Elephas maximus indicus: one gene and its partners. The protein of the gene in region 4 interacts with the protein of the main gene of each other region in a pairwise test. Links are inferred from orthologs where the notes say so. Each region holds a gene or a part of one and is shown on either strand. Other genes may lie near its edges.

Region 1 (6,023 bases), on a different chromosome or scaffold from region 4:
TATCATGTATTGGGATTAAGGTAAACGGAGGAAGAAGGTGGTTACCGCGAAAATTATATTTGAAACCCTCTGAAGCATGAGATTTGAATTTTTTTTTTTGTTCACTGTTGCACCATGGCCTTGTTGTAAGTGATGACTTGGGCAGGCAAAGGAAAGGAAGTAGTAATTTTTCAGACGTCCAAATTGAACAACTAAACTTTCGTTAAAATCTTCAGGTAGGTAAGGTCAATGTGTGGTGTATTTAGTAGTAAAAAAGTGTTGATTGCTATAATGTGATTGTAGAACATAGAGAATGTGATCATAATTCATGTTTTCATCCCAAGATGTTTAAATTTGGCCAAGAGACCTCAAAATTTACACCCTTCCTCTAAGTAAAACTTACTACCTCTTCCCAGATCTCCTTGTCCCTTATGTATCAGATTCTGTATATGACCCTAACAGCACACATGTGAGAAAAAAGGCAAATAGAACTGAACATAAGGCCAGATTTACTTTGAAGTTAAGCAGGAAAGGCAATGTGGAGCAGTGGGCAGACTTGGGACTGGAGATCAAGAGTCCTACCTCCAAGCTCTGGCACTTCTACTGCCTGGATACAGTTTCTTAGATAAGGCTCTTCACTTCCCACCCTCACAAGAGCAGGGCAAGGTGGCCTCTGAGGAACATCTCTTGCCACCATTCTTGTGATGTATTTCCCATCTGGCACCCACCCATTCTCTCTGCTCCCGAAATACAGGAGCTGTTCATGGAAAGTCTGCTTGGGTACACTGTCAGAAAGGATGGGAGAGGAGCCTAGTGTAAAAATGGGAAAGAACCCCAACAAATCTTCAGGCAGAACCCAGACCATCCTCAGAGCCAAGATGGTCTCTGTGTTTCCAAGAACTGGATGGGAAAGGGCAAATGGAGTTGAAGTACCTCCTTCATTTTCCTCTGAAAACCACCCTTTGGCCTTGGTCTCTGGCCTCTCTTTATTCCCTGCTGGAGACACCAGATGGGTCCTGAGCTAAGAGAGCTCCGCCCTCAGTGAGGCCCCTCTCTCTGCAGCTTTCTCCTTCTCCAGCCTGTCCCTGAGCCCTCTTGGCCTGCCCAAGCTGCAGCAGCAGCAACAACAGTATAGAAGACAGGGCGTGCATGTGAACAGGGTAGAAGGTCTCCACTTCCCAGCAGAGGTCAACATCTGGAGAGACTTAGATTTCAGAGAGGGATTGAGACTGAGTCATCGACATGTGTAAGGACTGTCAGCAACTTTTCAATGTTCCCTCTTAATGAGCCCCAATTCCCAGCCGGCTGGAAAGATCCAGCCCTGTGAAGACTTCCATTGGACTCCCCAGGAAAACTGATGGAGCAAGTTTGAAATGGGGAGGTGAGATGGGACCCAAATAGAGGTTTGACTTCCAGAGCAGTAACACCCTAAGCCTGTCCCTCCCTAACCTAAGAAAGGGGCCAGTGGGAGTACTGGCACCCAAGGCGTTCCCTGCGGTGCCATTTCGTCCATCCTTCTAGAAGATAAAAACACCATTCTGTCCATCTGCCTGTCTCCAGGCAAGATAATTCTCAGCCCCAAGAGAGAAAGGGTGATTGCTTCTTTTCTAAAAAAGCTAGAAATTCAGTTACGTCTCTCCATGTTCCAACAGCTATCAGAAAAATATCCACTTCCTTTCGTCAAGAGAACCACAAGCTAATAGAGAAACCAAGGTGTGGAGGAAGCAGGTTTATTGGGCCATCTCTACTACTGGGTTATTTGAAGTAGCTGAAGCCGTTGGGTGGCACAGACAGTTAACCACTCCGCTACTAACCAAATTCACCCAGTTCAAATTCACCCAGAGGAGCTTCAGAAGAAAGCTGCTGATCTACTTCTAAAAGGTCACAGCCTTGAAAACCCTACAGAGAGCAATTCTACTCTGCATAATGGAGTTGCCATGAGTCGGAATCGACTTGACAGCAACCGGTGACTGGTTAATGCAGCCTTTCTGTGCCTCAGTTTCCTCATCCAAAAAAAGAGAGAAAGAGGAGAAAACGAGAGAGTCAGAAGGCCTAGTTCAGGGTCCCCTAAAAGTCGAGAATGAGCTCACTGTGCTCTGTCTAAATTGCAGCTGGCTCATGCCACACAGGGGCAGAAACGGAAAGAGAAACAGACAGCAATGCCCAACACTCAATCCCGTTCTGTCCTCGCTGCAGGAGGTCTGATACAGAAGCCAACCCAAACACCCCCCCAAAACCCCACCCTTGTCTGCCCTGCAAATCACCTCCTCTCTCCACCCCTCACAATGGGCTTTCTCAGCATATGTGTCTGAAACAGAGCTACTCCTTAACTAGTGGCGTCACTAGGGTTGGCGTCACCCAGTGCGGTAACGCATGGTATTACTCCCCCCTCTCATGCTAATCACCACAATACTGTAGCTAAAACACCAGAAAATCTCACAAAATCAGCGACTATAAAAACATTGGAGTAACAAAAACAACAGCATGTGCTTGTAGCGTGTACAGAGAAAATCACATGATTTGAAGCGTCATTGCAGTTGGGTAATAATGACAGCTCTGACCAGAGCACATTAGAAAGCTCAAAAAGTAAATGAGCATAGAATTTTAGCCTTGTAGGTATATTGATACATGTAAGCTGGGCTTATGGGAAAAAATTTTGTTGTTATAACTAAATACAGGAATATTTTATAAAAAATAATAAATTTTTGCTAAACACTGCACAAAAATTTTATAGTCATTTTTGTGTCACCCCCCGACAGTCACCTGGTCTGGTCCACACCGCCTGCACCCGCTATTGACGCTACTGTCCTTAACCCTATGCAAGGCGGGGGGGGCTTTTTTTTGTTTCTTCATCAGTTCTCAAGTCTGGCTGATTTCTTCTCTGTGATCTCAGCTTCAACTTGGCAGAGCAGGTCTTTTAGGGGTGGGAAGGATTGGGGAGAGAGAAATATTATCCCATCTCTAAAACCATCCAGAAATGTCTCTTAAAAGCCAAAGAGGCCAGTTTCTCGGCAAGTTTTTTGGCTATCAGACTCAGGCATGAGAGGAGAGCACAAAGCACCAGAGGGCCTATTCTGGAGTGTTATGGATTGAACTATGTCCCCCCAAAAATATGTGTATTGTTTTGGCTGGGCCATGATTCCCGGTATTGTGTGATTTTCCTATATGTTGTAAATCCTGCCTCTAAGATATTAATGAGGGAGGATGGGAGGAAGTTGTGTTAGTGAGGCAGGACTCAGTCTATAAGACTGGATTGTGTCTTGAGGCAATTTCTTGAGATATAAAAGAGCGAAGCGAGCAGAGAGACAGGGGGACCTCATACCACCAAGAAAGCAATGTGGGGAGCAGAACGAGTCCTTTGGACCCGGAGTCCCTGCGCAGACAGGCTCCTAGTCTGGAGGAAGATTGATGAGAAGGCTGACAGAGAGAGAAAGCTTTCCCCTGGAGCTGACACCCGGAGTTTGAACTTTGAGCCTACTTTACTGTGAGAAAATAAACTTCTCTTTGTTAAAGCCATCTGCTTGTGGTATTTCTGTTATAGCAGCGCTACATAACTAAGACATGGAGATAATGTCTTTTTTTTCTCTTTCCTGCTTAGATACTCTCCCACTTCGTGTGCAGAGCGGTCCTGATGTGCTAGACTATCTGTCCTTATAATACTAAAGCAGCTGGAATGAACAAATGCTTACTGGTCACCTCCTATGGATTGTGCTAGCACCTGTGGGGAATGAAGTAGGAATAAAAGACACAGTCCCTGACTGCAAGGAGGCTCCTGCAAAAGTCAGATAATCTCAGAGATCACCTAACCCAACTTGCTTACTTAAGAAATAAGGAGCTAAAGTCTGAAGAAGTGATGTTTGTGGTGCATCAGATTTAGAAACAAGAAGCTCAGCCTCCTGCCTGGGGAGATGAGACACACACATGAAATAGCAATGGAAGGTTCCAGACAGTTTAGCACAATTGGGGTTGGTTATATAGACGTTGAAGTCCCTGGGTGGCACCAACAGTTAAGTGTTCATCTACTAACTAAAGGTTGGTGGTTCGAACCCACCCAGAGGCTCCTCAGAAGAAAGACTGTGATCTGTTTCCAAAAGGTCACAGCCTTTGAAAAGCCCTATGGAGCAGTTCTACTTTGACACACATAGGGCTAAATAAGTCAGAAATGACTAGACCGCAACTGGTTGATGGTATCCAGACTTTGAGGCCAATTATAATATTGGGAAAATGAACTTTAAGCAAATTTCAATTTCAAAGGACAACGAAAATTTGAAAAGCTCAGGAAGCCTTCCTTGGAGAGGAGGAGTAAAATGGGAAGGAACAGGAGATTTTATTTTGGCATTTCCTGGAGACAAGTCTTAATAGAAGCATACTTCTGTTATCTCCAAATGCTATACGAGAGACTTAAACACACATATATGCACATGCTCAATGACCGTTAAATTTCCTACAGGTAGGAGATAGGTACTTGATCAGCCTCTTGCACTCCTCAGATGCCTGGTACAGGGCTGGGATTTGTTGCTCAGTAACACTTGTCTGAAGGGAGAGCCTCATCTAACATAAAAAGGGCCTCAAAATTGAGAGTAGGCCTGGCCTGCATTAAAGGGCCACCTTATTTCACATATATGACCAAAGTGTAACAAAGGCTAGTGACCTCACCATGGAGCCCCACCCTCCTGCTAAGCCACGCCTCCTCACAGTCACAATGGCTAAGGCCTTAAATACCCAGACTCCTGGCCTCTGGCTTTGCAAAGCCCCTCATTTTGGCAGAAATTACAATGTCGACCAGCCGCAAATTAAAGAGTCATGGCATGAGGAGGGGCAAGAATCGATCTCCCCACAAGGGGGTCAAGAGAGGTAGCAGCAAAAGGAAATACCGGAAGGGCAGCCTGAAGAGTAGAAAAAGAGGCGATGATGGTGAGTGAGGGATAAGTAGGGGCACAAGCAAACAAGATGCTTGTTGTTCCAGGGATCTTCCTTCCTGGGGTTAGTCCTCCTATGACCCTGAAGTCTCTTCATCTGGGCATGAAAGGTATTTCATTTCTAATCAGTGGTCCCTGTTGCAAATCTGTCCTTCCCCACAGCCAATCGCAATTACCGCTCTCACTTGTGATCCCACCAGTGGGCTCTGCCCTGGTGGACGGCAAACACCACCAGGCAGCAGTGAGAAGACAGCAGAGGGGGACTGCCAAGGAGACCTGCTGGAGTTCAATCAAAGCCAGTGAAGATCCTATCGCACGGGGGTAAAATGCCAGCTGTGATGAAATGAGGAATGTATATGTTGGCTGTTTCTCCCCAACATCTCAATAAAATTTTGAAAGCTGGAAAGTTTACTTTGATCTTTTGGTTGGAAAGCTGGGGTTCCTGAGCTAGAGAGACTTGCATGTTAAATGACTTGGAGAATATCAAAGTACTTTGTCCTTACTACTCCCTCCCATTGTACCTCAACTCCATATTTAGGTCTTTGTTTCCCTCGCCAACAAGGAAAAGGGAGAAGAGATTAAGTGCCAATTATGAGATTCTTGTCAAAGGGCGTATAGTACGGGGAGAGACACCAAACTATGTGGTAAGCAGTGGAGAACACTCAATAGAACCACTAATGATTGCATAGGCTCGGTTGGCTGGCTGAGATGGGGAGACAAGGCCATGATGATAGAGACAGGCTTTAGGGGCTTTAGTTCATTTTGGTAGTTATGTTGGTATTATAGATTTTTTTTTTTTAATATAACACTTTCTACTAATACTTTTTCTACTAATTCTTTCTCCTAATACTTTCTTTTCTGCTACTCAAATTCAAAACCAGATAATTTGACTCTGATGCCCTAAATGAACTCTAGCCAGGTGTGCTGGAAGTAAGCACAATCTGGGTGAACCTTATTGATCACCAGGTCTATTGCTGGCTCCACTCATTTAGAAAATTCCTAAGCTCTCCCATATCTTAACCTGGGTTGTGATATGGCTGATAGTCTCAGGCCACATTAACTGACACTTCCACTCAGCATTCACCCACTCAGACAGGGGGACATTTTTCTTAATGACTACTTCCT
Region 2 (8,193 bases), on a different chromosome or scaffold from region 4:
CTGTATCATGCCGTCTCCGGGCCTGGGGGCTCCTCCCGCTGCATACGCCATGTCCCCACTTCCTCCTTTTGCAGCAGGGGGAGGAGTGGTCGCTGGCCGAGGAACCTGAGTCATGCTGGCGGCTGTGCCTAGGGGAGGGCCAGGGGATGGCCCGGTGAGGGGCTGTGCACCAGGGCCAGCACAGCAACCAGTCCACCAAACCCTCGGCCCAGCCAGGCTGGGAGAAGGTGCCTGTGCTGACTGCTGTGGGCACCATGCAGCTCCCAGGCACAGCCGGACCCTCGGCCCAGTCAGGCTGCGAGAAGATGGTGTCTGTGCCGACCACTGTGGGCACCATGTGGCCCCCAGGCACAAAGAAGGTCTCCATGCTGCCGTGTGACTGTGGGCATGCCACGACCCCGTCCTCTGCAGCCTGACCCTTGTTCTAGGGGCCCCCCACCCCTCACAAGACCTCTGCTGACAGCTGGGCCTACCTAGCAGGAGACGGGGACATGGAAGAAGCAGCCACCTCTGTCTTGTGGTGCTTTTCTTTCTTCTTCTCTTTCTTGTGTTTCTTCTTTTTCTTCTTCTTCTTCTTTTCTTTCTTGCTTTTCTTGTGGCTCTCAGAGCTGCAAGAGGGGCACAAGACCCCTCAGCCCTAGCCCTAGCCCTTGCTTCCACAGCTCTGCTCTGTGCCAGGCGGGAGGGGGCCCGGTGAACAGCAGTGGGTGAGACAGAGCCCTCCAGAACAGGGCTGCCACAGGGAGAGGGGCCTACACCTGTGCTGTCCACAAAGTTAACCACTGCCCATGTGTGGCTACTTTGATTTAAATTAACTAAGTGAACCAAACCCAGTGCTGTCCAGTCGATTCCGACTCATAGCGACCCTATAGGACAGAGTAGAACTACACCATAGAGTTTCCAAAGAGCGCCTGGCGGATTTGAATTCCAACCCTTTGGTTAGCAGCTGTAGCACTTAACCACTACGCCACCAGGGTTTCCAACTAAGTGAAAGCAATGAGAAATTCAGTGCCTTGGTCATACCGGCCACATTTCAAGTTCTCAAGTCTCCATGAACAGCAGCTCCACTGTGGACAGTGCAGGCAGGAACATACCCGTCATGGCACAGTACACTGGCCCACTAAGTATAGCCCTGGGCACCCTCACCCCACTCCGCATCCCACACACACCCAGCCCCCCTTCCAAGCTGCCTGAGTGCAGGTCTGCTGACCACCCTGTGCAGCCCGGCCCGGCACTGCCTGGCACACAGCAGGCACGAGAGTGCAGCCTGGCAGTACAGGGCCTTCACTACCACCTGGCCTCAAACCTGCCTTCAGCCTGTCTCCACTGCACTCTCTACATGGACTCTGAGCATCTTGCTGCCACACACGACTCCTTGCCGGACCTATGGGCCCTTTCTCACCTCTGGGCTGGGTGCACGGGCCCTCCCTGGCCAGGACTCAGCCTCGGCCCTCGTGCCAGAGTGGCCACCTGACTCTGCTGGAGCTGGAGGGCCGTTCCAGGACCACACTGAGTATGCCTGCAACTTGACCTTCTCATCCGGGAACAACTCAGAGGGTTCCCAAGATGACAAAATAGGAGGCAACGAGAAAACATGGGAAGGGGCAAAAGCCACGTCCTCCACTCTACCGCAAGCAGGCAGCCTGCCCATCTGGCTCAGAATTTCCTAGCAACCAGATGTGCGAAGAGAAACTTCAATTCTGTGCTACTCAAACTTCTGCTCTGGAGCCTCTGGGGTGTGGCTTAAAGTGGCCTGGCCCCAAATATGGAAATTCTTAAAATTAAATTTTAAGTATGAAATTAAACCCAGCATCCCGCAGTGTGGGTATGCTGCCTGTGGACCCTGCGTAAGCGAGGCCCTTACCACGGCTCCGCCTTCTCCTCAGAGTGCAGCTTCTTTCTGGCTGAGGCTGGGGAGGTCTCTGCCCCACTGCTCTCCACTCGTTGGTGCTGCCAAGGGAAGCCAGTGCCACAGGTGAGGACTCAGGAGAAGGCCTGGACAACCCTGAGATGCTTCCAGGCCATCCAAGCCCAGGTTTCTCAAGTCAGGAGACTGGGAATGCCCCCAGAGAGGAGAGGACCCTGCCTCAGGCCCACAGCACCAGGGGAAGCCAGGCCCCTCCCATCTTGCCAGCATGGGCTCCTGGTGTGTTCTGGGGGAGGGGACATTACTGTGAACACCGACAGCCCCAGCTTGGCAGCCTCCTTGTCTTCTCTGGACAACACCACTCGGCCGGCGGAGCCACTGTAAGAACACACGAGGAGGGAATGCGTCTGTGGGAAGAAGGCCGAGCTGCGCCCCAGTCAGGAGGCCCTGCAGCCCTGCTGCACTTGCTTCACCTGGGCACCTGGCAGGGCCCACGGGGAGGAGCCCTGCCCTCGATTTCTCTGGGACTTGCGGATCCCTGACATCTCCCTCAGGTCCTTAATCTGCAAGTCCCAGTCCTGACAGACCCCGTCGCCAGGAGGACCCCTAAGAGTTCACCCCTGTCCCCGCACCTGGAGCTCCCCAGCCCCAGGAGCCGGTCCACACCCTTGTCCTCAGGGTCTGCTCCTTCCCGCTTACAGATCTCGACAAAGTCCTGTGGGGAGAGAAAGGCAAGGTCCTCGCAGGCCCCAGAGCCGCCTCCCACCCCGCCCAGGCCACCCTGCCGACCTCAGACCCGACACTGCCCGAACCTCCCTCGGCCCGGGGCCCCTCGGCCCGTTACCTCCTTGCTCAGGCCTGTGGGCTGTTTCTTCACATTCTTGTAGCCTCTGCAACGGGGCCAAGGCACGCTTCAGGAGGGGCCGGTCCCCCATCCCACCCCGGGCCTCCCAGCCCTCGGGGCGCCTGCACCCTCGGCCCGCACGGCCACTCACAGGGCTGCCATGAGGGCCTCCTGCTCCGCCTGCCGCACGGCCGCCAGCTCCTCCTCGCGGCTCAGCCCCACCGGGCCGGCGCGGTCCTTGGCGTACCAGGTGAGGTCCCGGCCCTTCTGCCACCGGCCCACGGGGGCCATCAGCGAGTTCCCCAGGTAGTTCTCCCGCTGCTTGTCGGTTTTCACGTCTTCCCAGTTGAACTGGTCCTGGCCGCCGCGGACGCCGCCTCGACTGGAGCCGAACATGGTGCCGGCGGCTGCTGCGGGCGACGGGAGGACAGAGAGGTCCGCGCTTGGCCAGTCCCTCCAAGCCCCAGGCCAAGTCCAAGGCCGCCCAGCCCGCGCTCGCCCAGCCCGCCCGGGCCCGCCGCCCGCCCTCACTGGCCGCCGCGGCAGCTCCTGCGAGCGTACGCCCCCGCGCCGCGCGCGGTGACGCCATCCGCACCGCCGTCGGCTCCGCCCCTCGCGTCGCGCGCGGCGACGTCATCACCCGCGCCAGGTCCCGCCCCCAGCGCCAGGGGGCAGCTCGGCTGTTCTGTGTACGCACGGCGCTGGGGTCTTTCTCCCCGCTGCGGGGGTTAGAACCGCTAGCCTTTCCGTTAGCAGCCGAGCGCTTAACTGTTGTGTCACCACGGCTGCGTGAAGATTACAGCCAAGAAAATCCTGTGAAGCAGTTCTGCTCTGTAGCATGGGGTGGCCGGGAGGCTTGACCGCCAGCTAATAACACAAAAATTGTATTTCAGAATCTGATCCCTAAGATGCCAAAATGACAGCGATATAAGTTTTTTTAACGTGAAAAAGGTGAAAACAGTGACAGAAGGTAATAAGAAAAAAACACTGCCGCTTAGTCGATTCTAACTCATAGCGACCCTGTAGGACAGAGCAGGACTATCCCATAGGGTTTCCAAGGGTGTATTCGTTACAGAAGCAGACTGCCACATCTAATCTGGTGGACAGCCCATCTCTGGAGAAAAATCATCGTGCTATTCAAAGGAAGAAATAATCTTGGACGTCCAGATGGCTGGAATAAAAAGCAAGCATTTATGCTTACAGAAATACATCAGCGGCTTGAAATCCAATAAGGTAAATTAGGCCGTAAGAATTGTGCAACCATTCAGCATTTAAGAGTGACAGGGAAAAGCGTGTGGCATTTACCTGGTAACTCCAAATGGCAGTAGGCACTAGGCAGGTTCTCTGCGAACAAAGAGGTAAGGAATATTTTGTTTCTAAAACCCATGCTAAAGTTCAAGATTTGTAAAATAAATGGTTCAATTCCCAGTTTAGCGTATAAACTAAATAAAATACTGATGCTACCATAGAAGTTTTTAATACGGTTCATGGTTTAGTAAAACATAATAGGCTTTACCTGGCATTGAGGGGCAATAAGATTTCAAGAGAACTGGAAAGGTCAGCTGTTCAGTAGAGCAAGAGTAACAGGACAAATCACAAGAATTAAGATGAAGATAATTAAAGGTATCATAGAAGGGAACGGCAGACGTGGTACTTGAACCACCAGGCATTTCGTGACTACACTCCAGTGCCCAGTTCGGCCAGTGCCTGCCTCCGCCAGTCAGCTTATTTGTTGCTTTAAAAGAGCTGGTATCCACCACAGTGGATTATGGTTTCAGTACACTATGGTTTACCATCAATTACTGTGGCTTTAATAATGAATATTCAAAAACAAACCTCATTGTATTTTGTTCTGATGGGGCAATGCTGAGAAGAAAATCTGAAGTAACTACAAAGCTGTTGGAAAATATTCCTAAAAATCTTCATTTGGAACTGTAAAATCATTAGTTGCAACTGTCAACAGCAGAATGAAAACAATCATTTAAAAATATTTCTGTGTAAAACATCTCATTGATCACCATAGTTTAACGGTAGGTGACATATGAGATTCAATGATAACACATTTAGGGGATTAGGACGCTACTTTATTTGCCAAATTGTGGTGGAATTAAAACCATAGGTTGGCTGTGTATACAAGAGTTTGGTGACAACCAACAAAAGTATTCTGAGAATCAGGTAGTTGTACGGAATTTACGGTAACGAGTATCGTTGCGTCGTTGCTATTTGTAAACTGTGTGCTGCACGTCCTTGGTATCAGTAAGTGCAGAGTACGCTGTGCACCTAGACACATGCAGACATCCACGCCCATCCATCCACATGCGCACAACCTACTCCTGCCCCTTGTCAGTCATTAAACATTTGTGGGTTTCCCAGTGAGTCCCGGTCATTACGCCACCAATTAATCAGGAGCTTGATGGGCTCAGAAAACCATGGTGGCACAGTGGTTAAGCGCTACGGCTGCTAACCAAAGGGTTGGCAGTTCAAATCCGCCAGGCGCTCCTTGGGAACTCAACGGGGCAGTTCTCTACTCTGTCCTATAGGGTCGCTATGAGTCAGAATCAACTCGACGGCACTGGGTGATGGACTCAGTTGTGCAATTTGTGACATCACAGGCACAATAAGGCTGGGGAAGGAATGTGCAGTTATGAGAGGCTACCAGACTGTTTCACCCTGCTCCAAGCCGCCCTTCCTACTTCTCTGGCCTCACCTTCTCAGACATCCTTGCTTGCCCTTTAATTTTGGGGTCTCCCTGTGTAATACAGTAAGAGTTAGAGATACTGATGGTCCGCCTTGTACTACTGCCAGATCACCTTTGGGCCTTTGTTTCCTCATGCGTGGCCCAGAGAAAGCCAACTCTCCCCTAAGCTGTTCTCCTGATATGCCACTATGCCACTGTCCCTGGCGGCCCTTTCCACTCTGGTGGCATCAGACAAGTCCCTGCAACAGCAGACCTGCCCCGGGGCCTCTCCACCTTCAACACCATGTATCTAATACCACCGGCATGCCCCTCTCCAAGGCTCCCGTTCAGACAGCATCACTGCCCGCCGGTGTGGAAGCCCTGACTGTCCCTCTCCCGGCTCACCTATTGCCACCCCTTCCTCTCGAGTGGCCTGTCTGCAGCACAGTTGGACCTGGTCATATTCGTCTGAGCCGCTGGAATTGACTCATGCTGTCAGATGTCAGCAGTGGTAACCCTGGGGTCAGAGGGGCAGGAGGACAGGGGTGTGAGGTGCTGCCATGCACTGGCTCTGTTCACTGTGTGAACGACTGGAGAGCTGACATGCAGGATTGGTCCACTTGGCTTATTTCCTATACATGTAAATACATCTTTTCTTGCATTATATTCAATAATGTTATATGAAAAATAGGTACCCAGCGGATTCCAACAAGCCCAGTTTTTGCACTCAGGGCCCAGGTCAGTTCGACATGTGCAGCCTCAGCCCCTTTTTCTTTCATTCACTCATTCGTTCATTCAGTGAATGCCTATTGAGCACCTCTCATGCACTGTGCCAGGTGCTGGAGACACACCACACGTGTAAATACATACTGTCACCCAGGGGATAAGAAGTGCTGTGGACCAAGTCTGAGCAGAGAGCTGGAAGGGAGGACGGGGAGCCAGCAGGCAGGAAGAGGATTGCACGCAGAGGCTACAGTGAGAAACAGCAAGGATGCTTGGTGGTAAGGTGATGGTGCAGGACCCAAGGCCATAGCAGGGACTAGGGCTTTCCTCCAGAGTGAGAGGGAACAGGAGTACGTGGTGACCCACAGGGAAAGGCTCCTGCTGGCAGGCGTGAAGAACATGCTGGAGGCATTGGATGGAAGCAAGGAGCCTGGGGAGGAGGCCACCTTGGTGGGCCCCGGGTGACAGTGCAGAAGACCAGACAGCAGGAGTGGATGTGAGCAGGGCTGTGGTGGGCCCCAGGTGACAGCAGGGAAGACCAGGGGCAGGCATGGATGTGGAACCGGGCTGTGGTGGGCCCCGGTTGACAGGTACGAAGACCAGGGGCAGGCGTGGATGTGGAACAGGGCTGTGGTGGGCCTCGGGTGACACTGGGGAAGACCAGGGGTAGGCGTGGATATGGGGTAGGGCTGTGGCAGGCACTGGACGTATCATGAAGGCAGAGCTGTAGGGTTTGAAAATGGATAATGGACAAGATGTGGGGTGTGCCGAAGGTCTAGGTTTGCTGGTAGACAGATGTGGGATGACAGCCAAGGATGGTTCCCCTGCAGTGGGCTGAGCCGCTGTGAGGATGAGCTGCCCCTGATGAGAAGGGACTCAGGGCAGACCAGTGAGCCAGAGGTGGCCTCTACCTCCTCGAAGAGGTGCTGAGCGGGGAAGGGTGCAAGGCGGGGGCCCAGGCTGCAGATGCACATTTGGGAGTTGCCAGTGCAGAGAGCTTTAGAAGCTCAGAGACTGGGTAAGATAACCGAGGGGCTGCCCTGTGGAGATGAGGGCTGCGAACTGACCTTTGGGCTGAGCAATGCGGAGGTTGCCTGTGACCCTGGCAAGAGCAGTGTCAGAGGGATTGGGCTGAAAGTCTGAAGAAAGCAGCAGGACAGCAAGTGGACACAGCCCATGTAGAGTCTGGCTGCAAAGGTCAGGGATGGAGATGGTCAGGGAGCCCTGCCGACACTGAGACGGGGACTCGCTGCAGTGAGGGGTCTGAGAGGCCCATTATGGGGACAAAAGCTGTGGCTATTGGTGTGTCTCCTCATGGAGGCGATGGAGGAACAGGAGGGTTGGGAAGAGGTAGAGTGGTGAAAGCAGCAGCCTCGTCAGATGGCAAGTGAGCAGCTTGTTGGCTGGGCACTCTCCTCAGCCACCTTCTACACGTGGCCACCTCGCGGGAAGGCAGCTACATTCAGGCACAGCAGACCGCAGGGCAACCTCTGACAGATGGCCATCTCCACGTCCCAGCCATGCCAGTGGCCTGTGAGGCTCTCCAGGTCTGCAAGCAGCCTGAGGGCCAGGGCTCAGCCAGGCCCAAGACACCAGCCCCCAGGCCTGGGCAGAGTAGTGCCACAGCTGGAACAGCTGGAAACTGCTTCCTCGGGTCTTGGAGGAAGCTGGGGTCTGTGTGAAACCAACCCCTGGAACTGAAAGGAGGCAGGTCACAGACTCCATGACCAAACCAAAAAACCAAACCCAGTGCTGTCGAGTCGATTCCGACTCATAGTGATCCTGTAGGATAGAGTAGAACTGCCCCCATAGTTTCCAAGGAGCGCCTGGCGGATTTGAACTGCTGACCCTTTGGTTAGCAGCCATAGCACTTAACCACTACGCCACCAGGGTTTCTGACTCCGTGACAAGCCCTGTCAATTTAAACTGCAAAATGCTGCAGACCCAAGTGGGAGTCGACAAACAGCAGCTGAGCCCCTCCCGTGGAATGTGCCTTTCCCAGTGCCCCAGGCTCACAGCCTGGGGGCAGGCTCCCGGCATCAGGGAGCCTCACACGGTGCTCTGCAGGGCAGGGTGGCTCAG
Region 3 (8,070 bases), on a different chromosome or scaffold from region 4:
AGGGACTATGCGATGAATGAGGTAAAACAGAAGCACTGAACGCATCATTAAGCCAATTAACTGTGACATCCCATGAAACTATGACCCTAAACCTCCAGGCAAAGAACTGAATCCCATGAGGTGTCTGGTTGTACGTAAGCTGCCTCGGTAGCTACTCTTTTTCTTTTTGTCATTGTTGTAAATATTATCTATTACACTTCTGCCAATTCAACTTATTGACAGCAATTACGTTAATCAACTGTGTAATCCTACCTTAATCAATGCAATTGATTAAGCTCAGTACTCAGCTTTTACTGTATCTTTTGATGAACAGAAAGTCCCTGGCTGGTGCAGTTAATGTGCTCGGCTGCTAACTGAAAGGTTGAAGGTTTGAGTCCACCCAGAGGTACCCTGGAAGAAAAGCCTTGGCAACCTACTTCTGAAAAAGCTGCCATTGAAATCTTACACAGACGGTCCTTCGGTGGTGCAGATGGTTTGTACTCGGCTGGTAACCAAAAGGTTGGTGGTTTAAACCCACTCCATGGCACCGCAGAAGAAACAGGCCTAGCGATCTGCTTCAGTAAAGATTACAGCCAAGAAAACTCTACGGAACAGTTCTACTCTGTGACACATGGGGTCTCCCAAGTCACAAATCGACAACAAAATTCTATGGAGCACAGTTCTGCTCTAACACGAGGTTGCCATGAGTTGGAATCAACTTGACAGCAACTGGTTGGCTGGCTGATGAACAGAAGTTTCTAATGGAGTTGAATTTATCAACTTTTTCTTCTTTTAGAAATTCATCTCTACTCTGAGATCATAAACATCTCATATTATGTTTTTGTACTTGTCTTTAATAACTATCATTCTCTCCTCCCCAGACTACAAGCCCTATGAGGAATAATTTTATTTATAATGCAAGCAAGTAGCTCCCCAATGGTGCTGAATGCCAAGCAGGGCCAAGCACTACACAGTAGTGCTAGCGTTTCATTAGATTCTCACAATCACCCCATTTTCTAAGTGCGGAAGTTGAGGCTCAGAGAAGCCAAGCAACATGACTGAGAACCACAATGTTCCCAGGTACACAGGTTTTCAAGCTGGAGTTCCAGTCTGGCTACTTCGTAGTAGCAAGTCCACAGACAAAAAAACCTCTCTTAACCAGATTTCCTCATCTGTAGAAAACAATTAATGATCGTTGTGAAAAAATAAATACTTGTGAGGATCTTAGCTTTGAACCTGGTATATACTAAACCAAAAAAAAAAAAAAACCAAACCCACTGTCGAGTCAATTCCAACTCATAGCGACCCTACAGGACAGAGGAGAGCTGCCCCATAGTTTCCAAGGAGCGCCTAGTGGATTTGAACTGCTGACCTTTTGGTTAGCACTGTAGCACTTAACCACTACGCCACCACAGTTTCTGATATGTACTAAATGTTCGACAAAGGACAGGAATTAAATATACTGAATAAAAGTGTAACTCACTCTCTCCTGGCTGTAATATTCACACTACGTGCCCCTCCCCGCCGCCCTGCAGACAGCACGCAGATGGCAAGAGCACTGCCCACTTCTCCTGGAGGCTAGGGAAGGACATGACCACAAGTGAGCTCACACCCACATCTGGCCCACCTTCTTCCGACCACCTGACTCCCACTGACTTTTCCACCAGGTGCTGCTTGGTCCGGCTGTTGATTCCACCATGGGGAGCCAGAGCCAGTCTGGCTCCCAGGAAAGGATCAGCCTGCACTCTCTCCCACATTGATTGAGACACTCCACGGCACCTGCCGAGGCCCACAAGGCTGGGGTGGCTGCCCTCTGGGAGTGGGAAGGCAAGTTTCGGTCTGTGCTGATAAGGAGCACAGGATGCCTGCTGGGTCCCCAAGGAAGAGGCCACTCCCAGCCCACTTCTCAACACACAAAGCCCAAACCTGAAGGCCACTGACTTTATTGATTTAAAAAACTTTACAAGGACAGTGACTATTCTGCCAAAAAAGAGCCAAATGGCATAAAAACAGACCAGATGTGAGGGTGAGAGTGAAGGAAGGGGCCAAGAATCCACTCAGGAAAGCTGGTAACTATCGCCATGGAACTGGCAGAGGGAGGAGGAGGATGGGGAATTCATGCAAAAGTGAGAATTCCAAAAAAGTTGAAATGGTGATGGGACAAAACTCCTAAAAGATTCTGGAGCACGTTGGAGGTGAGCCTGACAACAGCAATCTTTTCCTTGTAGAGGACAGGGGAGGAGTCGCCACTCAGCTGCAAACTCTGGAGACTCAGGGCTGGGGACTGGGGGCTCCCAAGACAGCATCACAAGAAGGCGTCGCACCACTCTCGAAGGCACCCAAAGCAGTCCCGAGACTGCTTGGCATTGGCGCCGCACGTGTCCTTGAGCCATTCCCGGAAGAGGTCTTCATCCTTCTTTAGTACCAGAAACTGGCCAAGGACCACATACGCCTGCAAAACAGGCAAAGCAAAGGGCATGCCACAAAGTGCATTGTGGGGTTAAGAAAGCCACCTTTGAGGTATTCAAAGCACATAAGCCCAGGAGGCAGAATGAGTTTGCCTGCTTCACCTCCACCAGGTGACCAACTTCAGCTGTCTCTTAAATTATACTCCACTCTCCACCCCCCAACAAGTACATTCACTTTCCTCACTCCATCTGCCAGAAAATAAATGGACTCCCACCTCCAGCCCCCCCAGGCAACATGCGGCCACCCCACACCTTGTCAAAGCCCCTTTCCTCCAGCTTCTTGCCCAGGACTTCACCAATCCCGGCCAGGCTCCCCACTGGCTTTTCCCCCATGGGCTCTGCCACGAAGTCTCGGTGCTTTTGGGAAGTTGTCATCTTGATCAGGCTTAATCTGGGAATCCCAACAAAAAGCAGGTTAGGGCTGAAGACCTGGAAACTCCCTAGAGGCCACTAGTAGTCCCATATGACAAGGGAGCTAGGCCAGCCAGTAGGGTAGCTTACTGAATCCCCTTCATTTCACAGATGAGAAAACTGAGACCCGGGGAGAGTCTTTTCTCCACAAGGATAGTCTCCGACTTAGAATGCAATCCCATTACCACGAACTGCACTTACAATCTTTCCTTATTTTTTAAAAATATATATTTTAACATCAATAATATGTACTACAAAGCTCCCACAGGTAAATTGTGCTGTTATCATTCCCGGGTGTTCACTCGCAGTTGTGCAATTTTATGATTTTACTGTTCAAAACACAAAAACTTAAAAAGAATTAAAAAAAAAAAAAACAGGTATCCAACTTCCATCAGAACCGATTTAGGACGGAGTCAGCAGAACGAACCCCGTCGTAGATCGGGGACCTCCTGCACGCAAAAGAGAACTCTTTTACTTCCTGCAGAAGCCGGGTTTTGGTTTTGGTTTGGAGAGGGAAAACTCTCCTGCCCTAACAGGTGGCAGAGCGCTGGCAAATGGGAAGATTCCCAGAGTCAGTAGCCAGGGCACGCCCCGCGGCTGTCACTCCCTCTGTGACCTTCGCTGGGCAAAAGCTGACCCCGGCTAAGAGGCCACCTGGTCTGAAAAGCAGACGAATGGTCTCTGTGCTCCACCCGCACGCCACGGCTGCTTACGGAGCGAAGGCACAGGCAGAGAGCGCCCGGAGCCGTCTTCCCGCCGGCCGGGTCGCGCTGGCTTCCAGCCGCGCTCGCTCCTGCCGCCCCGCCCCTGCACGCGCCGCGTTCCCACGCGCAGCGCAACGCCGCGCCCCGCCTCCTCCACGCGGCGGGCGGACTCCTCTCGGGGGGCTCACCCTTAGCCTCCCACCGCGCTTTCGTGACCTCTCTCCTCCCTGCTGTCCCGCGCCTCCTCTAGCCTCTCGCCGGGCCCTGCTCCGCAGCTCGCGCTCACTGGCAACTCACACGTAACGGCTCCTCTCGCCACCCGGCCGCTCCCGCCGCTACCCCAACAACTAGAACTTTCTTCGACTTCCGCTTCCGGCTCGCCTCAAGAGCCGTCTTCTAAAACCCAAGTTGGGCACTTCTAGCCTCTAAGCGCCATAGAGATGAGGCATTTCGGTCCTCGACCGCGCCCTTAGGGGCGCTCTTTTCCGGTAGCTTCGCGGGAAGCGGGCTGCCTTCTATGGTCTCACTTCTCAGGCGGCCCTTCCGGTCTCGGAGCAGAGGCCGCGGAGGAGAAAACTTCCCTTCCCGGCTGCCCGGCCCCGGAACTCAAGGACTTAGCCCCGGCCGACCTGGCGGTGGGAAGAGTTAGAGGGACGGACAAAGTGGCGGGGGGGGGGGGGAAGAGTAGCCGTGTGGCTTCCGAGAGCGCGCCGGAAGTACAGTTCTCGGACGGGTCTGACTGAGCCTGGCCTTGTTCGTAGCGCTGTCGGGCTGGTAGGAATCGGGAGGGACCCCAGAGCACCGAAGAGCTGAGTCGGGGCCAGCGCCACCATCGTGACCGCCAGAAAATCCCTTTTCCGTGCCTTCGTTGGCTCTTCTGCGAAGTGAGTCGTGGAGGAGCCGCTCTCAGCGTCCGACCTGTAGAGCGGGGTCGCTCGGCTAGCGCCCGTGGGAGAGTCGAGGGCCGGAAGGTGAGTGTGGTTTCCTGGGGTAGGGGAGAGAGGAGGGCAGGGGGTGGCAGTTAGGGGTGACGCTTTAGACTTTGGAAACCATCACTCTTGGTTACTGGCTTGGACCATCGCGGTGGGCTCCTAATTAGCCTCTGCGTGTAGTGTGTGGAGAGATTATAAACTGAGCTTCTGTGTTGCCGTGGCTGTGCTAGACTTGTGACGTCCAAGCTTGTCGAAGTTACAGTTTTGTACTTGAAGAAACGGTTTTAGAGTATGTAAAAAAGTAAAAGTACGTATAGTTGTATAATTATAATTTCTCAGATATTTACGATAACAAGAGCGTTTTTGAGCGCTTACGGCATTTCAGTGTGCCAAGTGCGTAACTTACATTGTCTCATACTGTTAACAGTGCTCCGAGTTAGGTGTTTTGTTTTGTTCAGCAAGCCCTAAAAAGGTTGAACAGCTGAGAAGTAGTCAAGGTAGGATTTGAGTCCAGGCAGTTAGCCTTCGGAGCCCATGTTCTTAACCAGGACACTGTGTGGCTCGCTCTTCAGTAAGAGGCCATTCCCATTTACAAAACAGTCCTGGGCTCTGAGCCTGCATTCCGAGGAACTCAGGAGAAGTTGACAGTCTCTGCGTCCCTCACGCCCGAGGACGGAACCCAGCATGTCTCAGGCCACCAAGAGGAAGCATGTGGTGAAGGAGTTGCTGGGGGAGCACATGGTGCCCTCAGACCAGCAGCAGATTGTGAGGGTGAGTGGCATGGGGCACAATTTGCTCTATTTCCCACCCCCATTGGACCTCTGGGGTCCAGGTAGGGTGTGGTGCAGCTCAGAGGGCCCTTGATCTGATGATGAGACAGACTGGTTCTCCCTTGCCCCTGAACCAGGTACTCAGGACCCCAGGGAACAATCTGCATGAGGTGGAGACGGCCCAGGGGCAACGCTTCCTGGTGAGCATGCCCTCCAAGTACCGAAAGAACATCTGGATCAAGCGAGGTGAGGGGGGGTCCCCTCGGAGACAACCATTTACCATGGCCTTGGCTTCCTGCCTGCACCAGGACTGACCTGGTCTTTCCTCCTGTTTCCCTACAGGGGACTTCCTCATCGTTGACCCCATTGAGGAGGGAGAGAAGGTGAAGGCGGAGATCTCCTTTGTGCTCTGCAAGGACCACGTGCGCTCTCTGCAGAAGGAGGGGCTCTGGTAGGGCGCTCCCCTTCATTGTTGGCTCCCTGGCCTCTGGGCGGATGGACTTTGTATCCTTGTAATTGGGGAAGGGAAGATCATGGCATCCCAGGCAGAGACTGCTGGAAACAGTGCTTTTGCCAAGAGACTTATTAGTTTTCTCTGACCCTGTTTTTTCTTTTGGCGCAGGCCTGAGGCCTTCTCTGAAGTGGCTGAGAAACACAACAACAGCAGGAACAGGTGAGGAACAAGCTTTGAGATAAGTAGACGAATAATTTCTTACATAAGGATCAGTACAAAGCTGGTTCCTCTGAGGCAGAGACTAAAGATGCCCCAAGTGTCTAACTTTTCTAAACTGCTGTCCTAGTCCGTTTTTTCTAATGTCATTTACTTTTTTTTTTGTCAGTTCTCTTTTTCCAGTTTTTGGGTTCCCTAGTTTACTGCAACATCTCACAGAAGTCAAAAACCTGTATAAAGGAAGTGACTCATGTGGTTATGGAGACTGGCAGGTTCCAAATCCACGGGTCAGGCATAGGGTTCTCCCAACTCACATGGCTATAGGGGCTGATGAACCCAAACCAGCATTTCAGACCACAGGCTTTTGGCTCACAAGGCTGTAGAAGCTGGTGAATCAAGTCAGATGATAGGCTGCAGGCCCGTGGGGCTATAGAGGCTGGCGAATCTCAGAATCACCAGGCTTGAGTCTGAAGAACTGGGAGTCAGTCGATCACAAACTGGACGCTGGATCCAGATAGAGAGCCCCACCAGGGCATCTACATATACACCTTAGATGCAGGTGACACCCTAGGGAAGGTGGTAGCTTGAGTAAGGGTGGGACTTGAGTCACGCCCTCCTGCAAGGCTGCAACCAGAGACACTCCAGTCCTGTCTCGTAAACATGTAGAGGTCAGCATCCACGACACTTAAGATGGAGGACAACCATACAATACTGGGAATCATGGCTTAGCCAAGTTGACACATAACTCTGACCATCATTGGTTCCATATATTTTATTTGCATGGATTCACTGTCTTTATGTGTGAGTTATAAACATCATGGGTAGAAGGGCTACATGAAGTAATTCATTACGTCACAAGAGGGAAGACAGAAAGTAGGGGTCCAAGCCCTGGTGTCAGGCTTTCCTTTGTCACTACACAGGGTTTCTGGTAAGGGTTCTTTAATATGTGATATAACACGTGTGTGTAAGGGTGGATTAGAAGATTGATCAGGTTCGAATCTTGGTTTTTGCCATTTAGAGCAGAGTGCTATTAAGCAATTTACTTAATCTCTCAATTCTCACCTGTCTTCTCAACAAAATGGGAGCTTAGTGCTTATAAAACTGCTTAGTGTGGTATGTGATGTGGGCTCAAGGAGTGTTAGTTGGTGGTGGTAGAATCGTTGTTCTTAACTAAAATGAGTGGGTCTAGTAAAGTTGGGGGTGGCTGGCAGTCTTCAGCCTGTTTCTTTGGCCAAGTTTTCAACTGCTCTGATTCTGTGCCTCATTTTAGTCTTTAAGGGGTTGTTGAATTTTGGCAGGCCTGTAGGGCCCTGACTGCTTGGCCAAATGATCCTTCTTTTTGTGGGGCCCCTTGGTTGCAGATCTGGTTTTCCCAGAAGGCATTGGGCTAACTCTCTTCTCCCATGCAGACAGACTCAGCCAGAACTCCCAGCTGAGCCCCAGTCATCAGGAGACGAGTCCAGCTCTGAAGACGATTCTGACCTCTTTGTTAACACCAACCGCAGACAGTATCATGAAAGCGAAGAGGAGAGCAAGGAGGAGGAGGCAGCCTGAGACCCTGGGCCCACCTCTCCACTAGCTCAGAGACTAGTCCCTGGCTCCCCTGGGCTCAGACATTCCCAGGGTGCCCTGCAGCTCTTCCCCCCTGGATGGGGACAAGGCAGGGCCCCTCTCTGAACAGACTTTCCTGACCGACAGGAGAATTAAACCCCTGGTGGGTGATGACTTGTGTTGGTGTCCGTGTGGCTCTTTGGGAGAGGATGGACATGTGAAGTAAAAAACGGCATGCTCTTTGGTGGAAGTCTCATGGGCCAGTGGCCGAATGGCAGGGAAACGGGGACTGGCTGGACTCTTCCCCCAGGTGGTTTGAGTTCTTTCTTTTTGCATCGTTGAATGCTTAGGAAGTGCCTGGCCCTGTGCTGTGTCTCCTTGCATGTGTTTGATGATTAGGAGTAGCCCCACCTCATTGCCTGCTTGCAGTTAATCCCTTTGGAAGCAGTCAGGGTCACAGCCCTGGAACCTAGGGTCCACCTGCCTCCAGGAGACACTCAGGACAAATCCCGCAATGCCTCAGGAGCCGCAGTCCCGGCCTTTTATGGTCCTCCATTCCGTCACTGCAGGGTGCTCCCCTCTGTC
Region 4 (8,682 bases):
GGGACAACTGGAGAATTTTGAGCAGCAGAGTGACCTGACATGGCCTGACTTGTTTCAACAGGCCCTCTCTGACAGAGGTAGAGAATAGACTGTGGGGGTGGGGGAGGGGGGCAAGGGTGACAGCAGGGAGCCCAGGTGAGAAGTGGCGATGCTGTTAGAATGGTTAGTTTGGGCCAATGTCTGTAAAGCAGCCAGTGCCAGCACCTACCACATGGAGCAGACTTGTTTTAAGCACTTTTTCCGAGCCCCTGCCATGTGGAGGGCAGCACCGGCCCATCATGTCCGTTGGCTCATTCAGCTCTCTCGACTATAGGAGTTTTCCCGTCTCCAGATGAGGAAACCATCCTTAAGAGATAAAGCACTGGCCCAGTTCCCCAGGAGGTTTTTCCTTGTTAGTAGGGCAGCTGTTGATAGAACCAGCTTAGGGCCAAGAAGGAAGTACCAGAGCCTTGTGGAAATAAGCTCTCTGTCGGACTGCAGCCCTGGCCTTCAGAGGGCCCACTTCCTCCAGCACTGTCATGGTCAGTGAGAGGAGCCTGGGGTCTTATGATGTCATGACTGCATGATATCTGAGAGAAGACCGCTCGTCTCTCAAACCTGACCAAGGGCAAAGCACCTTGAGAGGAATCTGCTTGGGAAATCCCAGAAGGGAAGACGCAGGGAGGGAAGGAGACCAGAGCACATCTCACTCATCCTAGCCCCAGCCAGTATAGGGGCAGGGCCCCAGTCTTACCTGCAGGCCAGGTGTTGCCGCACGTCCTCTGTCCTCCAGCAACTGCTGAGAGTATTCTTCCCCCCAGCAAGGTGGTGGCTCTTGTTGTCCCAGCTGGAGTTCCTGCTGGCTAATTGCTAGCTAAGAGCAGGGTGGTGCCCGCCCCTGATCAGCTGACTCATGGTAGAATGGCTGGCCACCCAGGAAAGGCAGAAGGGGTTTGACCTTTCTCTCAATTTGGAGGTGGGGTTAGTGCACGTAGCTATTGCTGAGACAGGTATGTACCAAGACTTCTTGGTCTTTTTTTTTTTTCGTGTGTTTTTAGTGAAAGTTTACACAGAAATTAGGTTCTCATTTAACAGTTTCTATACATATTGTTCAGTGACGTTTGTTATATTCTTCACAATAGATCAGCATCCTCATTTCCATTTTGCTTGTCATGTTTCCATTAATCTAGCCGCCCTGCCCCTCCCTTTGCCTTCTCATCTTGGTCCGGGTAAATGTTCACCATGTGGTTTCATCTAAACGATTGTTTTGAGAAGCACAGTACACATCGGTGATATTACGTATTTTATGGGCCAGTCTGTCATTTGAGTGAAAGATGACTTTTGGGAGTGGTTTGAGTTCCAAGTTTAAAGGGCATTTCTGGGTGATCCTCTCGAGGGTTCATCTATATCAATCCTTTCCATCTTGATTTTTTTTTTTTTTTAATGTAAGTGTTGTTTTCTTGAGGAGATCCAGACTTGAGTTGAAGACCAGTCTTGCTGAGAGTGGGGAAGGTGGTTAGGTGACAGGTATCCAGGGGTCTTTAAAGTGACCGTAACATGTGACCTGGCATTTCTTCTTCCACAAACCCATCTCCATGTTCCCTATAGTAGAAAAAAATCTGGAAATCCCAAACATCCATCACCAGGGTCCAGTTAAAGAAGTCATTATCTAGGACAATCCCACAGCTGTTAAAGTTGTTTAAGGAAGAAGCCTTGAGGAGATGTTCCCGAGTACTGTTAACTGACTGAAGAGTCCGTACTGGGAGTCTGGCCTTGTGTTTTGTTTTCCTTTTTTGAAAAGCGGATGTGCACTGAAACCAGTCTGGGGGAGTCTGCTGTAAAATGCTGAGGCAGTGGGGTTGTCGGTGGGGTTTCCAGTTTGTACTTTTGTGTGTGTTCCCAAGTGGTGGTGGTGTTGAAGTTAATTTGTGTATTGCTTTGATTGCTTATCATTTTTGTAATGAGTAGGGGGAGAAATTAAACTGGACTGCTTTTTAAAGGAATTTAGATTGCTTCTCTCCAGGGAGGCAACCTAAGGGGCTGTGTACTGGCGTAAGGAGATTTTTTATAGCACACTTTCTCAAATTTTGAAAAATAAAAAATTTGAATATATTATTTATCCCACAAATAGTTCCATAAAATTAACCAGAAAAGGGAGAGGGATTTCATTTAGACCCTGGTGGGGTGGGTTAGATAAGGTGCCTGTCACACTTGGTGCCTTGGGGAGGGACTAGGGAAACGTATGCTGGTCAGTCCTGTGAGGAGTGACACAGGCCACCCGCCCAGGGTGGGGTAAGTTTCAGGGCTGTTCACCTGGCTGGGCCTGGCAGGCCCACGTCACTGTCCCCATGACGAGCTTGGGCAGAATTACACTCGCCTGGGGCGTCAGATCCTGACCGGGGCCCAGCTGGTTGTCAGCCCCATGGAGGAGGGACACTGTCTTTGCTCTGAGGAGCTCACAGCTGAGAGCCCCACACACGAAACAACAGGAGCCACGACACACAACAGGAGGTTGCCACTAGCAGCACCGACTGCCCACAGAGCACCATGAGCCTGCCGGCAGCAGCTTTAAAGGTACCATCCCTGCCAAGTAGGTGTGATTAGCACCAGTCCTACAGGTGGAGAAACTGAGGCACAGAGAGGCAAAGTCCCTCTCTCAAGTTACACAGCTGGAAAATGGCCCCAAGGCCATGTTTTGTCTGCTGTGAGACAGATGCTACTTCCAAAAGCTGAGGCACGGGACACGCCTGAGGGACAAAGGCAAATGGGCCTGAAGCCTGAGGTAGGTCCAGGGCTTCGAACTGGTTCATTTTGGTTCAAATCCCTGCTGAGAATTTGCATTCCCACCGTAGATATACTGAATGAGAATCTACATTTTAGCAAGATCCCCAGGTGATTTTTACGTATAATAAATTTTGAGAACCGCTGCTCTACTAGTGGTTCTCAGAGTTGGTCCCTAGCCAGCAGCGTTAGCATTGCCTAGAAACTTATTAGAAATGCAAATTCTCAGCAGGGGTTCTGACTGGAAGGAACTGGTTTGAAGCCCTGGGTAGACCATGGGTGATGGACCCACCTTAGGCCAAGTCTCCAAGGCCAAAGCAAAGAAGGAAATAGAGAACCTAATGGAACCAAGTGGCCCCCTTGCCCCATCTCAGTTCATAGAGCCATGGGCTGGAAGGGCCTTTAGAGAAAATGGAGAAGGAAATGTAGGCCCAGAGGGGATAAGGGACTTGCCTGTGGAACTGACCCAAGTCCCCCAACTCTCACCTACATGCCAGGGCTATCTTTCTATTCTGTGGTTTTTATAGCTACGGCCCATCTCTTTGACTTCTCTCATCACTCCAGCCACCAAGAAACATCTTTCATTGCACATGCCCTTGCTCAGAAGTCTTTAATGGCTCCCTACTGCTTCAGGGCCAATACTAAACTCCTAGACCTGACCTTTGAGGCCTCTGTGGTCCACCCCTTTATTACCTCTTCAACCTTGTCCCTCTAACATCTCTACCCCTGCCAGGCCAGAGTCCTCCCTACTCCTACCCCACCTCGTACCCACAGCACACGCATTCCTGACTCCACCTTTGCCTGGGCTGCTGCCTCCCCTGAGGTGCGTTTCCTCATCCCTACCCCACCAAGTCCACTGGGCTCCCCTTCCAAGGAGCCTCCTTGATCATTCCCATCCATGGGACCTCTCCCGCTTCTGTGTTCTGGATCAGACTGTCCCATTCCTTTCTTTGATACAGCCATCTTGTATTGTTCATGTGTACATTAGGCTAATTGTTACACCCTAAGTTCCTTAAAAAAAAAAAAGTTCCTTACCATCCAAAAAAAACCCAGTTGCCATTGAGTCAATTCCAACTCATGGTGACCCCATGTGTGTACACAGAGCTGCGCTCCGTAGGGATTTCAGTGGCTGAGACCTTTTGGAAGCGGATCACCAGGCCTTTCTTCCGAGTGCTTCTGGGTAGGTTAGAACCTTCATTGGAACCTTCAACCTTTTGGTTAGTAGTCAAGCGCTTAACCATTTGTACCACCCAGGGACGTCTATAGTGGCTAAAAAAAAAAAAAAAAAAATTTTTTTTTTTTTTTAGCCTATTTCCAAAATAAAAATTGGAGCCCGTGCTCTGGGCAGGACATATTCTGCTTTGTTACTTATCTGTGGAACAGCCTTCAAAAGTCTAAAACATGAGTGGCCACCATACAACATACACTCAGAAACTCCCTAACAGCACCCATGACAGACCTGAGTATCCACCCAACATTACTTGCTGCTGGGCCCTGAGGTGGCCCAGAATCCTCTCACAATAATGCCACAGGCAGCTGCTGCCACCTGGAGTCAGCCCGTGCTATGAAATCTCTGTGCCATCTCGAATGGTTCCCCCCAGCAGGGCAGGGCCTTGGGTTTACCATGTATCCCTAGGACCTAGATCCGTGACCGGCACATGTAGGCTCTCAGTAATGTCTATTGAATGAATGCCTCTGCTAGAAGAGTCCATCATAGTTATAAATGTAATGGATAGCTGCCACTGAGTTGGCTTCGACTCCTGGCCACTCTGTGTACAACAGATAAGTAACAAAGCAGTAACAGAGCAAAATTGTGCCTGGTCCTGCATCATCTTCACAGTCATTGGCAAGTTTAAGGCCATCGTTGCAGCTACTGTGCCAATCCATCTCACCGAGGGTCTCCCCCACCCTTGCTGGTCCTCTACATCACCCAACATGATGTCCTCCTCCAGTGATTGATCCCTCCTGATGACATGTCCAAAGTAAGCTCACCCTTATGTAAAAGCTGGGCTAGGCTGTGGTGGTAGGCAGAGCAGAGTTCCAGATCTGTGACATTCCACAAGTTTGGGAACCTCTCTGAGCTTCAGTTTCCAGACCTCCACAGGGGACGGCTGCTACCTGATGTACGGGCTTGTCCTGGAGGTTAAACGAATGAATCACGTAAAGCACCTAAGACACAGCTGGTGCTCGATAATGTTTCTGACGTCCTCATACTATCAGTCTTGGCTACAAGTTACAGAAACGCAATTCATCTGTTTGATGTGAAAGTGGGGGTGCTCTTACCGGAAGAAGGTGGAATGGCTGCTGAGCAGAGAGACACCAGCTATACACTCCAACCCCCTGCGTGGAACCTGGACCAGGAGCAAGTCCAGGGCTGTGTCAGACAGCTGCATCCGGACCACAGGATAATAACAGGAAGAGCCCCATTTATCGGGCCCCTGATGCCTGCTGGGCTCTGCGGGGCAATGGGCACAGCCTGACCCGTCTGTTGTTCCCAGCTGGCCCTGGAATCAGACAGAAGCATCTTGCCCGAGTCCACACAGCCCCGGAGTGGTAGAGCCGACCTGGCTGTGGACTGATCGGAGTGTCTGGGCTCTCGGACTCTTTCCCATCCCCCTCTAGCGGAGTCCCAGAGATTTCCCAGGGTGGCAGCGAAGGCCCTGATGAGCCAAAATCAGAAGCCAGGGAGCTGGGACCCCACACTCCCACAGACTCATGTCCCTGGCCCGGAAGCACAGGCACTCGCCAGAGACCCCATACCATAAGAGGACTTTGTGCCACCCCATAGTATCCCAAAGCAATATTCTGAAGGGGAGGCAGCGTAGAGCCTGGGCTGCGGAGTCTCACCTGCCTGGGCCCAAATCCCCACACATAGGCCATGTGACCTTGGGCAAGCGACTTTCCTGCCCTGGGCCTCAGTTTCCTCACCTGTGAAAGGAGGAAAGTAATTTCACCTGGATCATGGGAATACTCACTAAATGTGAACTATTATTCTTACAACGGGCATTGTTCAAGTGGCAAAAAAAATCTGTTACTGCTGTGATCCAAGAGCAAACGGATAGAAATCGCCTGCTCCTTTCTGGGACGTACATCCTAGTTGGGCTGTTCCTGAGGGAGTCTGTAAATCTCCCAGCCACAGAGATGCTGCCCTGAGGAGAGACCCCCGTGATGTAGTGGTCATCAGCCAGCCCCTCACCACCTCCGTCCTCCTCCCCCTCGGAGCCTGTGCTTCTCCAGGTGTGGTTGTCCCGGCCGCCTGCAGCAGAGGCCCCTGGGGGACATGCTAAAAATGCAGATTCAGGGTCCCACCCTACACTTGTTGTATCCAGCTGTCTGGGAGTGGGGCCCAAGAACCTGCATTTGACTTGCCTCTGCAAATGATTCTGATGCAAACTGCAGTGTGAGAACAACTGCCCAGCTCCTCCTTCCAGACCCACTTTCTTGAATCAAATGCCTGCAAGGTGCTAGGCATGGGGCAAGAGGCTTTCCTCGTTTACCTTGTTTAATACTCAAAACATACCCAAAAGATGGTTGTGTTATCCCATGGGACAGATGAGAAACTGAGGCTCAAAGACTTAAGCTCTGTGTCCAAGATCACGCAGCTGGTAACCCATGGAAGCGGGATTCGAACCCAGAACCTGCCTGCTTTCTCCTGTGCAAATGTGTAATCTCCCCTAAATGTGGCCTGTGCCCCCCTCATTAGTCCAAGGCCTGGGTCTAGTTTTGGAATTCCGTGGTGAAAGTTGGTTGCTCCAGCCAGAATTTTTGGTCACGGGCATGGAGAAGCATGTAAACACCTGGGAGCAATGTGGGGTGAGAGGTCATCAGTTCAGAGGACACCCCTACAAGGAGTGTCTCAGCATCCAGGCCTGGGGAGGGTTCAGCCAGGGTTTGTGGCTGTGGGTCACTCAAGCAGGGAGCCCCCAGAGCCTGGGAGAGTCAGACAACCTGGCCTGGAGGCTTGGAGGCCCAGGTAGACACTGGTCATCCTGCTGACGCTCCAGGCTCTGGTCATGGCCTGCAGAGCTCTGTCCCAGGTGGCTCCAGGCCCTCCAGAATGGGTTGGGTCTCTGCCTGATTGGGTCATGGCTTCCTGCAAAGATTGGGCTGTGATTGGTGGAGCATGGGTCATGTGTGCAGGCCCTCACTGCAAAGCATGCTGGTAAAGCGAGCATTTGGCTTTAAGGGCTACTCTACTGGGAGCCTCTGGTGGAGGATTCCCCAGACATGAGAAGCGGGTTCAAAAACAGAGCAGCCAGTAAGAGTGGCAAATGTCCACTCTGACCAGGAATGGGTGGTGGAAGACCAGTTGCTGAGGGCCTACTATGTGCCAGGCATGGCCCCAGGTGATTGACATCTGTTAGTTTCAATCCCTACCTACAATAATAATGCCCAGTTTACAGATGAGAAAGCCGAGGCCCAGGGTCACACTGACAGTGAGTGGTAGGTTACAGAGTTGAACCCCAACCTGTCAGACTCCGGAGCCAGAGTTCCTGGCCACCATGACACACTTCACTGCACTTAGTTCCGGTGACTGGGACTTGCCCACACCACCAGACAGGCCACTTTCCTGTCCCCTGCCTCCTGCACACCTCCCAGGACAGAGCAGAACGACCTCTCAGGGCCCCGGGAGAGAAGCAGGGCAGCTATTATTACCACATTTTATAGAAGAAGCTGAAGTTCAGAGCGGGGAGGGACTTGTCTGGGGCTGGGATCTTCCCCTCCCCCCAGCTTCTCTCACCCACCCACCTGCTCTGCACCCCAATCTTGGCTGCTCTTTTTTTTTTTTAAATAATTTTTATTGTGCTTTAAGTGAAAGTTTACAAATCAAGTCATTCTGTCACATATAAGCTTATACACACCTTACTACATACTCCCATTTACTCTCCCCCTAATGAGTCTTTAATGAGTCAGCCCGCTCCCTTCTTCCAGTCTCTCCTTTCGTGACCGTTTTGCCAGTTTCTAACCCTCTCTACCATCCCATCTCCCCTTCAGACAGGAGATGCCAATACAGTCTCAAGTGTCCACCTGATACAAGTAGCTCACTCTTCATCAGCATCTCTCTCCAGCCCATTGTCCAGTCCCTTCCATGTCTGATGAGTTGTCTTCGGGAATGGTTCCTGTTCTGGGCCAGCAGAAGGTTTGGGGACCATGACTGCCGGGATTCTTCTAGTCTCAGTCAGACCATTAAGTCTGGTCTTTTTATGAGAATTTGGGGTCTATCCCACTGTTCTCCTGCTCCCTCAGGGGTTCTCTGTTGTGTCCCTGTCAGGGCAGTCATCAGTTGTAGCCGGGCACCATCTAGTTCTTCTGGTCTCATGATGATGTAAGTCTCTAGTTCATGTGGCCCTTTCTGTCTTGGGCTCGTAGTTATTGTGTGACCTTGGTGTTCTTCATTCTCCTTTGATCCAGATGGGTTGATACCAATTGATGCATCTTAGATGGCCGCTTGTTAGCATTTAAGACCTCAGATGCCACACTTCAAAGTGGGATGCAGAATGTTTTCATAATAGAGTTTATTATGCCAATTGACTTAGAAATCCCCTTAGGCCATAGTCCCCAAACCCCCGCCCTTGCTCCGCTGACCTTTGAAGCATTCAGTTTATCCCGGAAACTTCTTTGCTTTTGGTCCAGTCCAGTTGAGCTGACCTTCCCTGTATTGAATATTGTCCTTCCCTTCACCTAAAGTAGTTCTTATCTACTAACTAATCAGTAAATAACCCTCTCCCACCCTCCCTCCCTCCCCCGTCTCGTAACCGCAAAAGAATGTGTTCTTCTCAGTTTATACTCTTTCTCAAGAACTTATAATAGTGGTCTTATACAGTATTTGTCCTTTTGCATCTGACTAATTTCACTCAGCATAATGCCTTCCAGGTTCCTCCATGTTATGAAATGTTTCACAGATTCGTCACTGTTCTTTAT

The links.
Region 1: the proteins of SDCBP2 (region 4) and TNP1 interact in binary tests that used the Homo sapiens proteins (3 or more experiments, as listed by UniProt). The two-hybrid records come from large-scale screens. The link is inferred for Elephas maximus indicus from reciprocal best matches to the Homo sapiens genes SDCBP2 and TNP1.
Region 2: the proteins of SDCBP2 (region 4) and C2H1orf35 interact in binary tests that used the Homo sapiens proteins (3 or more experiments, as listed by UniProt). The two-hybrid records come from large-scale screens. The link is inferred for Elephas maximus indicus from reciprocal best matches to the Homo sapiens genes SDCBP2 and C1orf35.
Region 3: the proteins of SDCBP2 (region 4) and EIF1AD interact in a two-hybrid assay, tested with the Homo sapiens proteins (3 studies listed by BioGRID and IntAct). The two-hybrid records come from large-scale screens. The link is inferred for Elephas maximus indicus from reciprocal best matches to the Homo sapiens genes SDCBP2 and EIF1AD.

The regions. Positions count from the first base shown.
Region 1 is NC_064824.1:115,321,353-115,327,375, reverse strand, and holds TNP1 (spermatid nuclear transition protein 1), read left to right. Parts: upstream 1-4,754; coding exon 4,755-4,893; intron 4,894-5,060; coding exon 5,061-5,089; downstream 5,090-6,023. UniProt on the Homo sapiens protein: Plays a key role in the replacement of histones to protamine in the elongating spermatids of mammals.
Region 2 is NC_064820.1:232,584,879-232,593,071, reverse strand, and holds the start of C2H1orf35 (multiple myeloma tumor-associated protein 2), read right to left. Parts: upstream 3,310-8,193; 5' UTR 3,301-3,309; coding exon 3,243-3,300; intron 3,122-3,242; coding exon 2,863-3,121; intron 2,758-2,862; coding exon 2,712-2,757; intron 2,583-2,711; coding exon 2,500-2,582; intron 2,246-2,499; coding exon 2,173-2,245; intron 1,951-2,172; coding exon 1,865-1,950; intron 609-1,864; coding exon 474-608; intron 129-473; coding exon 1-128.
Region 3 is NC_064825.1:129,139,521-129,147,590, reverse strand, and holds the start of EIF1AD (probable RNA-binding protein EIF1AD), read left to right. Parts: upstream 1-4,241; 5' UTR 4,242-4,533; intron 4,534-5,094; 5' UTR 5,095-5,178; coding exon 5,179-5,265; intron 5,266-5,401; coding exon 5,402-5,510; intron 5,511-5,606; coding exon 5,607-5,715; intron 5,716-5,886; coding exon 5,887-5,937; intron 5,938-7,343; coding exon 7,344-7,488; 3' UTR 7,489-8,070. Other genes in the region: BANF1 (barrier-to-autointegration factor), read right to left, coding at 2,285-2,431, 2,700-2,822.
Region 4 is NC_064843.1:39,398,319-39,407,000, forward strand, and holds the start of SDCBP2 (syntenin-2), read right to left. Parts: upstream 3,854-8,682; 5' UTR 3,796-3,853; intron 822-3,795; exon of another isoform or gene 734-821; intron 1-733.